Linked DNA regions of Arabidopsis thaliana. The protein of the gene in region 1 interacts with the protein of each later gene in a biochemical or structural test. Each region holds a gene or a part of one and is shown on either strand. Other genes may lie near its edges. The genes, in order: ATHB-15 and ZPR3.

Region 1 (7,753 bases):
ATGTAATCAACATTATCCATTTAGGTTTACTACAATCTACATTTAACAAATGTCTTTTTTTCCCATAACAATTAACAATGTTAATTTGATCAGAATAACATTTGATGTTAAATCTCAGCTATGCTAAACCTCTAAGTCTAAACACCTAACATCAGATCATCAAGTCGACGAGCTTTGAGATCATTAGAGAAAAGGATCTTGAAGCAAAGCAACAAGAACACCTCCATTTTGACTACAATAATGAATTTATTCCTAGTTTCATTTGGGTCAAGGGTCCGCTTGATTCTGACTTGCCGAACAGTGATATTCGTTCCATAACTATGGAAAAACATTTCTTTTATAAGATTTAGCATCTGACGAAAGATCTGATCCATCTTCCAAAGTATACAGGCCATAATGTAGATACACCAGAAGCTAAATCTTGAAAAAGCAGAGAGATTGCTTCACTAATTTGGCAGTTGCATGAACCGAAGCAAGCAATCAACTATAACCAGTAGAAAAATCTCCTGCAAATATAGCAATCTTTTTTTGTTATGAGTAAAAAAACAAACGAAATTAATCATTCTATTTTTCCAAATAGAACAATCAGTGGACAGATTGAATATCAGTGACCTATATAGCCTATATGAAACAAGTCCACCAATTGCAACAGCCGTGATACATAATGGACTGGGCTGAATTTAGGCCCGATATGAAGATAGCGGTCCAACGTTTAATTAAAACAGTCAATTCTACACTTTTTTGTGTGTACGTACTCTATAATGAAAATATATTGGTAATTGAAAAAGTTAAGACTTGAATTGAAACCACTTAAAGAAGAATTGAATTCATCATGATGAACAATTCAAATCAGTAGTATAATACAATTCTTTTACAGGCATTATTGGGAAAATGAAGGAATAGTACTAGTTAAATTAAAATATTTGAAAGAGAGTTGACAAAATAAAAGAAAGAAATTTGAGAATAGAGAAAAAGAAAGAAGGAAAGAAAGAAAGTGAAGCTTCAGCTTTAAGACGGAGGAGACGCATGCAAAGAAGGTAATGATGTTGTCTCTGTCTCCTACGCAGACCTCTCTCCCACGCCTTTTGTTATTTTTTATACGCCTCTGACCTTCCCCATTCCTTCTTACCTTTATTACCCTCCTATTCACTCTTTTACCACTCGTTTACTACTAGTTAAAACTTAGAAGTAGTAATATTTATTGGTATAAACCTCATTAATTTCATATTGTGGGCATAAATGTAGGAGTATAAGATTAGCATCCGTTAGAGATTAGTCACAAACATTACAACATTAAACGTTAACATTATCTATGTTGTTTTCCATGATTAGATCGAAGAAATTGCATGACCATATCAATGTGCTGTTAGTTCAGTGATAAATCTTTTAGGTGGAAGTGCTGAGTTCGAAACATATTGGGATGAATCTCTTTTCCATAAAAGATGAATTTAACCGAGTGTTTTTGAGTCTGAATTTTCAAATATTAAAAAAAAAAAGAAAATTGCATGACCATAATTTTTTTATTTATAAATATAAAAACTATAGTATAATAAAAAAACTATAGTATAACAATAGGTAATTTTCACAAATAGCAAAAAAATAAAATTTATTACACTAGTATAAGCATTTGATTGCCTTTCTCTTCAATTTGACTGCCTTTTTCTCGTTTACAATTTTCACTGATTATATATTTGAGAATGTTTTAAGCTTTAATTAACCTTTTTTTAACCTTTTGGAACAATTTTTTTGACAATTATACCTATTTAGACCATTTTCGTAGAGTAAACAAGAGAAATTTGGTTTTCCCTCGAGGTGTTGTTGTTTGTTGGTTTATGAAATTGAAATGTGCCAATCATAAAAAAAAACAAAAGAAAATGCCAACGAAAAAGCTAATTTCACAAACGCAACAGCACTATCAAATCACATTATTAAAATAATATTATTATTTTAAGGCCAAAAAAAAAAATCAAAGTTGCCATGAACGAGCTAGAGGAAAAAAAACACACAAAGTAGATAACATCTAAAAACAACAAAACAGTACAGTAGCTCCATGATTCGTTTTCTACATACATCTCTTCTTCATCCTCTCTTCTACTTTCCTCTTTCCTCTTTCCTTCTTCGAATAAATTTCTAGGGTTTTTCTTTTCTCTAAAGTTTTCATTTTTATTTCAATGAGAGCTCGAAGAAGGAGAATATGGGTTTGAGAACTGATAATATTATGGCTTCGTTTCGAGGTGGAATCGGGGTTTCTAATGGCTGAGTCAACTCGGTGATTCTGTGTTATAGTCACGAGCAAATATAAAAAAGTTTGTAACTTTCTTGTTTTTTTAGGTGTGTGTGTTCAGAGAAAAGGTCGAATCTTTTTTCGGTGTTTGTAAAAGGGAAAGTTGTAATCTTAAAGTCTGTTTTTCTTTCTTGTGTTTTGGTATTTAGCTCATAAAAGCCGAGGAGTAATATAAAGGATAGGTTTTGTCTTTGTGTGCCCTTTTGAGATTGCATGAAGAAAAAAAGCCTCTAGTGTGTTTTGAAGGAAACAGAATTCGATATTTATGCGGTAATGTGATTTGTGAAGCTACTCCAAGTGCTTAGGATTTGAGATGGCTTAGATTTGGTAGTTGTTCAAGCTGTGGAGTTTGTGGTGGACTAAGAAGCTCTCTGTCTCCTTTGTTTAGTATGTTGTGGTTATCTTCTGTTTAGAAGGATTTAGTTATTCATCTGGAGGGGGTAGTAGGGTCATTTGTGAGATTCTGTGATTGTGAAATAAGAAGAGTTTTGCTGAGGAGTAATGGCAATGTCTTGCAAGGATGGTAAGTTGGGATGTTTGGATAATGGGAAGTATGTGAGGTATACACCTGAACAAGTTGAAGCACTTGAGAGGCTTTATCATGACTGTCCTAAACCGAGTTCTATTCGCCGTCAGCAGTTGATCAGAGAGTGTCCTATTCTCTCTAACATTGAGCCTAAACAGATCAAAGTGTGGTTTCAGAACCGAAGGTAATAACAATGTTCCTTGCTTGGGAATTGTAGTGAATGGAAGTTTCTGTGGTGTTCTCTCTATCTACTTGATCTAATCTTTGTTTTGTGTTTCTGTTATGAACTTTAGATGTAGAGAGAAACAAAGGAAAGAGGCTTCACGGCTTCAAGCTGTGAATCGGAAGTTGACGGCAATGAACAAGCTCTTGATGGAGGAGAATGACAGGTTGCAGAAGCAAGTGTCACAGCTGGTCCATGAAAACAGCTACTTCCGTCAACATACTCCAAATGTGAGGATTCTACTCCTGCAATATCTTCATTTTTCTTATCTTAATAATCACTAGAATGTTTTCTTTAAGAATAATAATATCCTTTTAATGGTATGTGTATCGATTTGTCTTTTTTTTTCAGCCTTCACTCCCAGCTAAAGACACAAGCTGTGAATCGGTGGTGACGAGTGGTCAGCACCAATTGGCATCTCAAAATCCTCAGAGAGATGCTAGTCCTGCAGGGTTGGTTCTTTAATTGGAATATGGTTACTCTGTTAGTTAAAAACTACACTTTTGTCATATTTTTCTGAGATTCATTGATACATGTTATGTTTTCAGACTTTTGTCCATTGCAGAAGAAACTTTAGCAGAGTTTCTTTCAAAGGCAACTGGAACCGCTGTTGAGTGGGTTCAGATGCCTGGAATGAAGGTATTTTATTCCTCTAGTTTTGTTTTTGTTAATTGGATATAGTTATTCTGCTTTTTCCTCAATGGTTGTTTTTGTATTTTCCGTAACAGCCTGGTCCGGATTCCATTGGAATCATCGCTATTTCTCATGGTTGCACTGGTGTGGCAGCACGCGCCTGTGGCCTAGTGGGTCTTGAGCCTACAAGGGTGCGTTTATAGAATCATTCTCATCGCTGATTTATACAATCTTATACTACTCTACATGTGTCTACATATGTAACAACATTCATCTGTTTTCACTATTTTACAGGTTGCAGAGATTGTCAAGGATCGTCCTTCGTGGTTCCGCGAATGTCGAGCTGTTGAAGTTATGAACGTGTTGCCAACTGCCAATGGTGGAACCGTTGAGCTGCTTTATATGCAGGTTAGTTTTAAACCATAAGTGCTACACAGTTAGAATTATTTTTCTAAAGTTGAAAATAGTAACCATCATCCTCTTCGTAATTGCAGCTCTATGCACCAACTACATTGGCCCCACCACGCGATTTCTGGCTGTTACGTTACACCTCTGTTTTAGAAGATGGCAGCCTTGTGGTATGTAGCTTTTCTTTTCTGTCAGTGTTCTTATTCATGTTGATCCATTTCACAAGGTTTAAGAAATCTTATAGGTGTGCGAGAGATCTCTTAAGAGCACTCAAAATGGTCCTAGTATGCCACTGGTTCAGAATTTTGTGAGAGCAGAGATGCTTTCCAGTGGGTACTTGATACGGCCTTGTGATGGTGGTGGCTCAATCATACACATAGTGGATCATATGGATTTGGAGGTAACGAGCCTCACTCTGCACCAATTCTAATGGTCTTGGAAATGTTAACCAAACTGTTTGGATATTTGTTCACTTAAATAGGCTTGTAGCGTGCCTGAGGTCTTGCGCCCGCTCTATGAGTCACCCAAAGTACTTGCACAGAAGACAACAATGGCGGTATGTTAATTAAACTCATTTATTCCCTAAAGCTCATTCTGATATTGAAACTACTGTTCTCAAATGATGCATACAAATCGAATTTGTCTCAAAGGCACTGCGTCAGCTCAAGCAAATAGCTCAGGAGGTTACTCAGACTAATAGTAGTGTTAATGGGTGGGGACGGCGTCCTGCTGCCTTAAGAGCTCTCAGCCAGAGGCTAAGCAGGTTTATATACAATTACGATTTGCCTCTTCTTATTGGTGGGTTTGTGTCCTTTATATTTGCCTCTTCTTATAAAATTTTTCCCTACAGAGGCTTCAATGAAGCTGTAAATGGTTTCACTGATGAAGGATGGTCAGTGATAGGAGATAGCATGGATGATGTCACAATCACTGTAAACTCTTCTCCAGACAAGCTAATGGGTCTAAATCTTACATTTGCCAATGGCTTTGCTCCTGTAAGCAATGTTGTTTTATGCGCAAAAGCATCAATGCTTTTACAGGTCAGTGCACCATTTTTTTTATAGATCAACTGATGATTGTTTCAACACTTTTTCACCTTCTTTTTATGGGATTTTGCACCTACAGAATGTTCCTCCGGCGATCCTGCTTCGGTTTCTGAGGGAGCATAGGTCAGAATGGGCTGACAACAACATTGATGCGTATCTAGCAGCAGCAGTTAAAGTAGGGCCTTGTAGTGCCCGAGTTGGAGGATTTGGAGGGCAGGTTATACTTCCACTTGCTCATACTATTGAGCATGAAGAGGTTAGTTTAATTTTCTTCGATGAACTTAATGTTTTTCTTTTATCTCCATAATATAAGTTGAATAATGGTTGGTTTTTTTTCATTCAGTTTATGGAAGTCATCAAATTGGAAGGTCTTGGTCATTCCCCTGAAGATGCAATCGTTCCAAGAGATATCTTCCTTCTTCAAGTAAGTACTTTAGGTTGTCTATTTTGCATAAGGTTTTAATGTTGGTCTCTAGTACCTGAAATAATTTTTTTTTTGGTTATTAGCTTTGTAGCGGAATGGATGAAAATGCTGTAGGAACCTGTGCGGAACTTATATTTGCTCCAATCGATGCTTCGTTTGCGGATGATGCACCTCTGCTTCCTTCTGGTTTTCGTATTATCCCTCTTGATTCCGCAAAGGTAAATAAAAGTTATGTTTTCTGTCCAAGTCTTCTATTATTCAGATTCTTAAGCTTTTCTTGAACCAAAAAAGCAGGAAGTATCTAGCCCAAACCGAACCTTGGATCTTGCTTCGGCACTGGAAATTGGTTCAGCTGGAACAAAAGCCTCAACTGATCAATCAGGAAACTCCACATGTGCAAGATCTGTGATGACAATAGCATTTGAGTTTGGTATCGAGAGCCATATGCAAGAACATGTAGCATCCATGGCTAGGCAGTATGTTCGAGGTATCATATCATCGGTGCAGAGAGTAGCATTGGCTCTTTCTCCTTCTCATATCAGCTCACAAGTTGGTCTACGCACTCCTTTGGGTACTCCTGAAGCCCAAACACTTGCTCGTTGGATTTGCCAGAGTTACAGGTATAAACCAAACTATCAAATATGTTCTAATTTTCCCACCAAATCAACAATGTTTAGTTTACTAAGATGACTCATTTACCCATTGATAATAGGGGCTACATGGGTGTTGAGCTACTTAAATCAAACAGTGACGGCAATGAATCTATTCTTAAGAATCTTTGGCATCACACTGATGCTATAATCTGCTGCTCAATGAAGGTAACAAACACAATGTTAAACACATAAATGTGTATTCGATAGGAGTACTTGACTCGTGTATTCGCTGATCTGTTTTGGGATTTGAACATCGGTTAGGCCTTGCCCGTCTTCACATTTGCAAACCAGGCGGGACTTGACATGCTGGAGACTACATTAGTTGCTCTTCAAGACATCTCTTTAGAGAAGATATTTGATGACAATGGAAGAAAGACTCTTTGCTCTGAGTTCCCACAGATCATGCAACAGGTTCTTAGAAACATTTTCTGATCTTCATTCTTATCACATATGTTTAGTTTTATCGACTTACTAGGATCTATTTTTTCAGGGCTTCGCGTGCCTTCAAGGCGGGATATGTCTCTCAAGCATGGGGAGACCAGTTTCGTATGAGAGAGCAGTTGCTTGGAAAGTACTCAATGAAGAAGAAAATGCTCATTGCATCTGCTTTGTGTTCATCAATTGGTCCTTTGTGTGAGATTTATTGTATTTTGTATTTTCAGACTAAGCTTTTGCCTTTTGGCTGTATTGTAAAACGGTCATGTTGTTGTTGTTGTTGTTGTTGTTCTTGATGTTGCTGTGAACACGTAAAACAGTGTTTTGTTTCAAAACTCAAGAAATGCTTGCTTAATTTGTAGTTTGATTAAGAGTGATAATGATGATCTTTTTCTTTTCTTGTTATTAGTACATTTTAGCTTTCTAAAGTTTTATTCGACTTCTTTACAAAGAAATTTTGCCCATCACACAATTTATCTTTTTTCCTTTCCTAAAATGTATGACAATCATTACACTCAACCATGACCATCTCTATCTGGTGTAGGTTTCCACAGCGACAAATTGGATTGTTTAGGATAAGGTTGAGAATTTTTTTTCTTATAAAGAAAAATAACCAGAGAGATATTAAAATCTAGACTTATCTTTGGAAGTTCTGAAGAATTCGATATTTATGGTGTTTATAGGCTAACTCTATAATTTTGAGCTATTCATTTTTGCTTGAGTGAACCATAAAGTTGGTTCCATACTTCCATGTCTATGAAAACTTGACGAAATGAAAATTTCAAAACACGGAAATAATTCAATTTCAATCAAAGGAAAAACAACATTAATGTCGGCCATTAGTTTAGGATGAATATTGTGTGCCAATAATAGAAAAAGAGTTATTTGTTTTTAATTTGAAACTCAATATCCTCATAAAGATATTAAGAAAAGGATGCAGCAATTATTTAACACATAAAGCAAGACCTATAAAATCCGTATATAGATATTATGGCTATCATACATAGTGCAATCTAAAGTACAAAAAAAAGTTGATATTTAAGAGTTTATTATAGCTCTCTTCCACCTTAAATTGTATTTTTGTTTCTACTTTTCCATTATTTGAGTTGAGTAATATTATC
Region 2 (4,395 bases), on another chromosome or scaffold:
TTTAGAGAGTGACTGGAGTTTATAATTCATATTCAAACCCAAGAGTGTGTGTAAATTTGACGTAGCATCAATTTTGGTCTATTTAAAGCTATAGTATTCTGATATTATCCATTCTGAGGTTTTATCCAGTATTACTGTTGTTGAAGGAAATGATTTACATGACCAATATTATCAACAACTGGTTTGAACCATAATAATTAAATTGTTCAGATGCACATGGCATAATAATTAAATCATTTCAATTTAGAATGTTAGGATAAAGCTTTCATTGAACTTGCTACAACACATGTAGACTATATATACACAAACACTACTATTAATATTGTTTTTCTTCCTCATTTCCTCTACTCTAGTCTACTTGAAAATTACATAGACCTATTTATACTTAAGAAGTGTTTGCTAATCCTGATGAATAATTAGTGTCAATTCAACGATTCAGTTTCCACTTACTGTCTTACTCGATCGGAAAATATCATGGACAAAATGGGTCACTTTTGTTTTTGTATGAGATGATATATCAATATTGAATGCGTTTTGTATATGATTATAAAAATCGAATAACTTGTCCCCATGTTATATACGATACATTAGTTGATTGATATGCACTTGACAATATTTGATAAATGGAGCAAAGGTACAAAATGTTAGTCCAAGAATCAACCATATCCTAAAGTCCCCAACCCCACACCAGAGGATCTTTAATTAACATAGAAAATAGAAACAAAAGTAAAAATATGACTGAGAAGACTAACAGAGAGACACTGTCTTCTTGTAATAAAACAGAATCTTCTTTTCATAATAACTACTACAGTGCTCGATACTACTTATCTTCCTATAATACACCAAACAAAATAAAATACTTCCAAAAGGTTGGGTCTTCTTTTAATCTTCTCCTACGTACGGATTCGAGATCTCTTGCTCTAACGTATTCTTGATTTAAATCAAGATTGTCCAGAAGCAGAGCTTGATTTGTTGTCATTGTTTGATCCATTGTTAGAGTTCTTAGTTTTGGAGAGTTTCTGTTTGAGTTGAAACAAAAGCTGTTGGTTCTCTTGATTCAGAAGCTCAGCTTTCTTCCTTAGTCTCTCGTTCTCTTTCATTATGTAACAGTTTTCAACAAACAGCTTCGAGTTTAGCCTCTCCATTTCTGCTTTCTTGCTACAAGTAAAACAAAACAAAAGTATTATTACGAATTTTGAAAAATAAATGAGAAAAAGAGAGTAATAATATCAATAAAACCAAAGCTTGTGTTATGATTATTATTGTTCATGTTAAATCATTACATCACACATGGGTTGTGCAGCTTCACACGTCGGATGTGAATTACATTAGCTATAGGAAAAATCATTTGTCGCATTTATTTCGTTTTCATGTGAATTTCTTTTTCTTCTTTTTATGAAATCAATGATCAAAGAGAGAAGAAGAACATGATTATAAATTTGTATGGAGGATAAAAAGATAAAGCTAATAAAGAGAAAGAAATTGAAGAAAAGAGATAAAAACAAGTAATCATGATGATATATATGCAGTAATTATAAATGTTTTAACCTCTATGGACAGAGAGAGTAATGATTATATTTGAAACGCTAGAAAAAAACAGAGTAAGCAACAAAACAAAGATGGTGATCGTAGCAATACAGACTATTAAAAAGAAAAATCAAACAATTTTTTTTATTTATTTCGGTTGCCTCAAAGAAAAAGATAAAGATTAAAAACTTTCCATCATTGAGGAATATTTTAAAAGATGAAAAAGTTTTAACATAGAAAAAGAGAGAAATTAAGGGTTTGTCTTCACGTTAGTTGTACGTGTGACGTTACTACATAACTATTATCTTAACGTATGAACGCAAAAGCGATAGATAACAGAGCAAGAAACAGAAACAGAGCATGTCGAGAAAACTCACGTTAAGCTTCTAGAACAGTAAGAGAGTGAGAGAGAGAGAAGGAGAATAGAGGTTATACCTTTTGGGAAGGAGTGTTGAGAAGCAGAGATAACGAAGAAAGATTGAGAGAGAGAAGAGAGACGCTAGTTTGTGTGTGTAGAGAAGGTAGAGGGACAAAGAGAACAAAGTGAGACACTGTCTGTTATATAGATCCCCAAAAGCTAAAGAGAAAGAGAAAGAACCTTCTCTCTCCTGACACAACAATCATGCATTGTGTTGTGTTTCTGCATAGATGGCGGCCGCAAGAAGAGAGAGAGAGAGAGGAGATTTGTGCATATTGCGTCATGTGAATGATGATGATTTATTAAAGAGAAAGAAGTTAGAGAGAGAGAAGAAAAAAAAAAGGAGTTTTCTTGCTTGCTCTTCTTTCGAAATTGATCTTCAGGGATATTTTCGTAATTTCCGAAAGATCCCCTAGCACTTCCTTTGGCTCTTCATCGTATTCGTCCTCTAAACAGAAGATTCGGTTAAAAGAACTAGAGTAAGGGTATTTACGTCATTACGAAGGAAGTAGTACAGAGGAGGGTAATATTGTCATTTGTGTAGGACTAATGAGAGGGGCTATAGTAGAAGAGGCCATCGACCTCTAAAGATTCGCAATGATGGTAAAGATTGGTTCGAACCATCATCCTTCATGATTCTATTTCAACCGTTTTGGACCATTTTGTAAATGCTCTCTTTCCCCATCTCATGTCCCGGTTAGCTCAATCTTGGTTTAGTTCAAATATTACACTCCACCATTATTATGTTTTAGATTATTATTTCGGATACAAATAGTTTCCTTTGTGTGTTAAACTATTTGTTACTTTTTTCTTTGTATGAAAATCATAGTATACCACAATTTGAAAATGCATTTTTTTGTCCTCTTATATTGTCTCAGCATTCAAGATTTGATATAATTATGGTGGGAGAAGAAAAAAAGAAAGAAATAATGAAGAAGAAGAGTGTTTGGACTTTGGAGCCGTAAAACCTACAAAAAATAATCATGGATCAAAAGTGTTGTAGAACGTGAAACATCATAAACAGTGAGGTGGTTGTTTTTGGATGTATTTATGACTTCTCTTTTTTTCGTAACTTCACATGCCTTTGAATAAAACTCGTTCGTTTGCCCATGACTTAACCCCCAAAAAGAAGATGACTACAATTTCACGTTTATTTAAAACTACTTTGGCTTGTGTATATAAATCTTGTACGGCTTCTTTTAACCCTTCTTTCACGGAATAAATGTGAGAAATTGTGTTTTTTGTAAATATGCTGATTGTAGAAGTTAAACAAAACTGAAACACAATTAGTATTAAGTAGGTGTGTCTTGAAATGGAACTAAAGAGTGGGTACACTTGCTTACACCAAAGGCAATGATTTTAAAGGTGTGAGCAGCTTCATTTCTTGCTGGCCTATGCAATGCCGTTTCTACCCCTCATTGCTTTGGTCTAAGTTTGACAATTCGGTTTGGTGTTGATTTTTATTTATAAAATGAAACTTTAATTTATAAATATAGTTGGTTCTAGGATTAATTTTGGTTAATCATAACCCAGTCGGACCAATTTTCACACCCCAAAAAGGTTGAAAACTTTGTCTCTTTACCATGTAAATTTCAAAAACCTAAGAATATTCAAATATTCGGTTTTGGTAACCCCTATTAATGTAGTAAATGTTTGGTATAGAATATTAGATTACCATTCAGAGAAACTATATTTCGCTTTTATTAATTAATTGGAATTTTCTAGTTATTTTCTCCTTTGTTAATCTAACCTAATCTTTTTTGAACTTTATAATATAAACACAAACGAATTAAAAAAATATACCGTAATTTAACTGATTAAAAGTCTATATAAGTTTGTGTTTATATGACGTATATTTCATTTTGCTACGTACTACTGTATGTATACATTCATGTTGTATGATGGAGCATGCCTCTTTTGCACAAGAAAAGTACTGAAATCTCTTTATTTGAAGGAGTCCACATCCACCTCGAAGGCGATGTGCGCAGTGGTTCGATTGCTATACCCGAGATTGATTTACCGGCGATTGATGTCGCATCATCTGCTGCGTCGGTGGTGGCGGAAGAGTTAGGTAAATCAAATCTCACATAAATGATTCTCTGTTCTATTCTCCATTCTTCGTTCTTCTGATTGTTTTTTTAGGTTTTTGGTGGTTAGATGTTTGCGCCAGACGATTCAGAATTCATAAGGTGTAAAGTGTGTTCATATTAGACTGCATGCAAACATTATCATTGCACATCTTAACTTTTAAATAAAGGACTACTACAGATGTTTGGATGGACTACTACAGAAGTAATTTTCATTTAAATATGGATAAATATCGACGCTCACGATTCAACAAGCAAATCTAGTTTGATATGAATTAGCAATATGCAAAAAGTGATAAGGATTTGAAAAGTTGAAAAGCAACAAAGAAAATATAACAACTTAAAATATAAATGAGATATAAT

Evidence for each region.
Region 2: the proteins of ATHB-15 (region 1) and ZPR3 form a complex in vitro, tested with the Arabidopsis thaliana proteins (one study listed by BioGRID).

Annotation. Positions count from the first base shown.
Region 1 is NC_003070.9:19,408,994-19,416,746, reverse strand, and holds ATHB-15 (Homeobox-leucine zipper family protein / lipid-binding START domain-containing protein), read left to right. Parts: upstream 1-2,068; 5' UTR 2,069-2,785; coding exon 2,786-2,994; intron 2,995-3,103; coding exon 3,104-3,263; intron 3,264-3,384; coding exon 3,385-3,485; intron 3,486-3,581; coding exon 3,582-3,672; intron 3,673-3,761; coding exon 3,762-3,857; intron 3,858-3,960; coding exon 3,961-4,074; intron 4,075-4,160; coding exon 4,161-4,244; intron 4,245-4,318; coding exon 4,319-4,474; intron 4,475-4,555; coding exon 4,556-4,630; intron 4,631-4,724; coding exon 4,725-4,837; intron 4,838-4,924; coding exon 4,925-5,114; intron 5,115-5,199; coding exon 5,200-5,376; intron 5,377-5,463; coding exon 5,464-5,544; intron 5,545-5,627; coding exon 5,628-5,762; intron 5,763-5,835; coding exon 5,836-6,164; intron 6,165-6,256; coding exon 6,257-6,362; intron 6,363-6,458; coding exon 6,459-6,608; coding exon of another isoform or gene 6,609-6,629; exon of another isoform or gene 6,630-6,687; coding exon 6,688-6,834; 3' UTR 6,835-7,036; downstream 7,037-7,753. UniProt on the Arabidopsis thaliana protein: Probable transcription factor involved in the regulation of meristem development to promote lateral organ formation. May regulates procambial and vascular tissue formation or maintenance, and vascular development in inflorescence stems.
Region 2 is NC_003074.8:19,556,950-19,561,344, forward strand, and holds ZPR3 (binding protein), read right to left. Parts: upstream 2,375-4,395; 5' UTR 1,963-2,374; intron 1,159-1,962; 5' UTR 1,146-1,158; coding exon 942-1,145; 3' UTR 567-941; downstream 1-566. UniProt on the Arabidopsis thaliana protein: Competitive inhibitor of the HD-ZIPIII transcription factors in shoot apical meristem (SAM) development. Acts by forming non-functional heterodimers. Part of a negative feedback loop. Involved in SAM development and lateral organ patterning.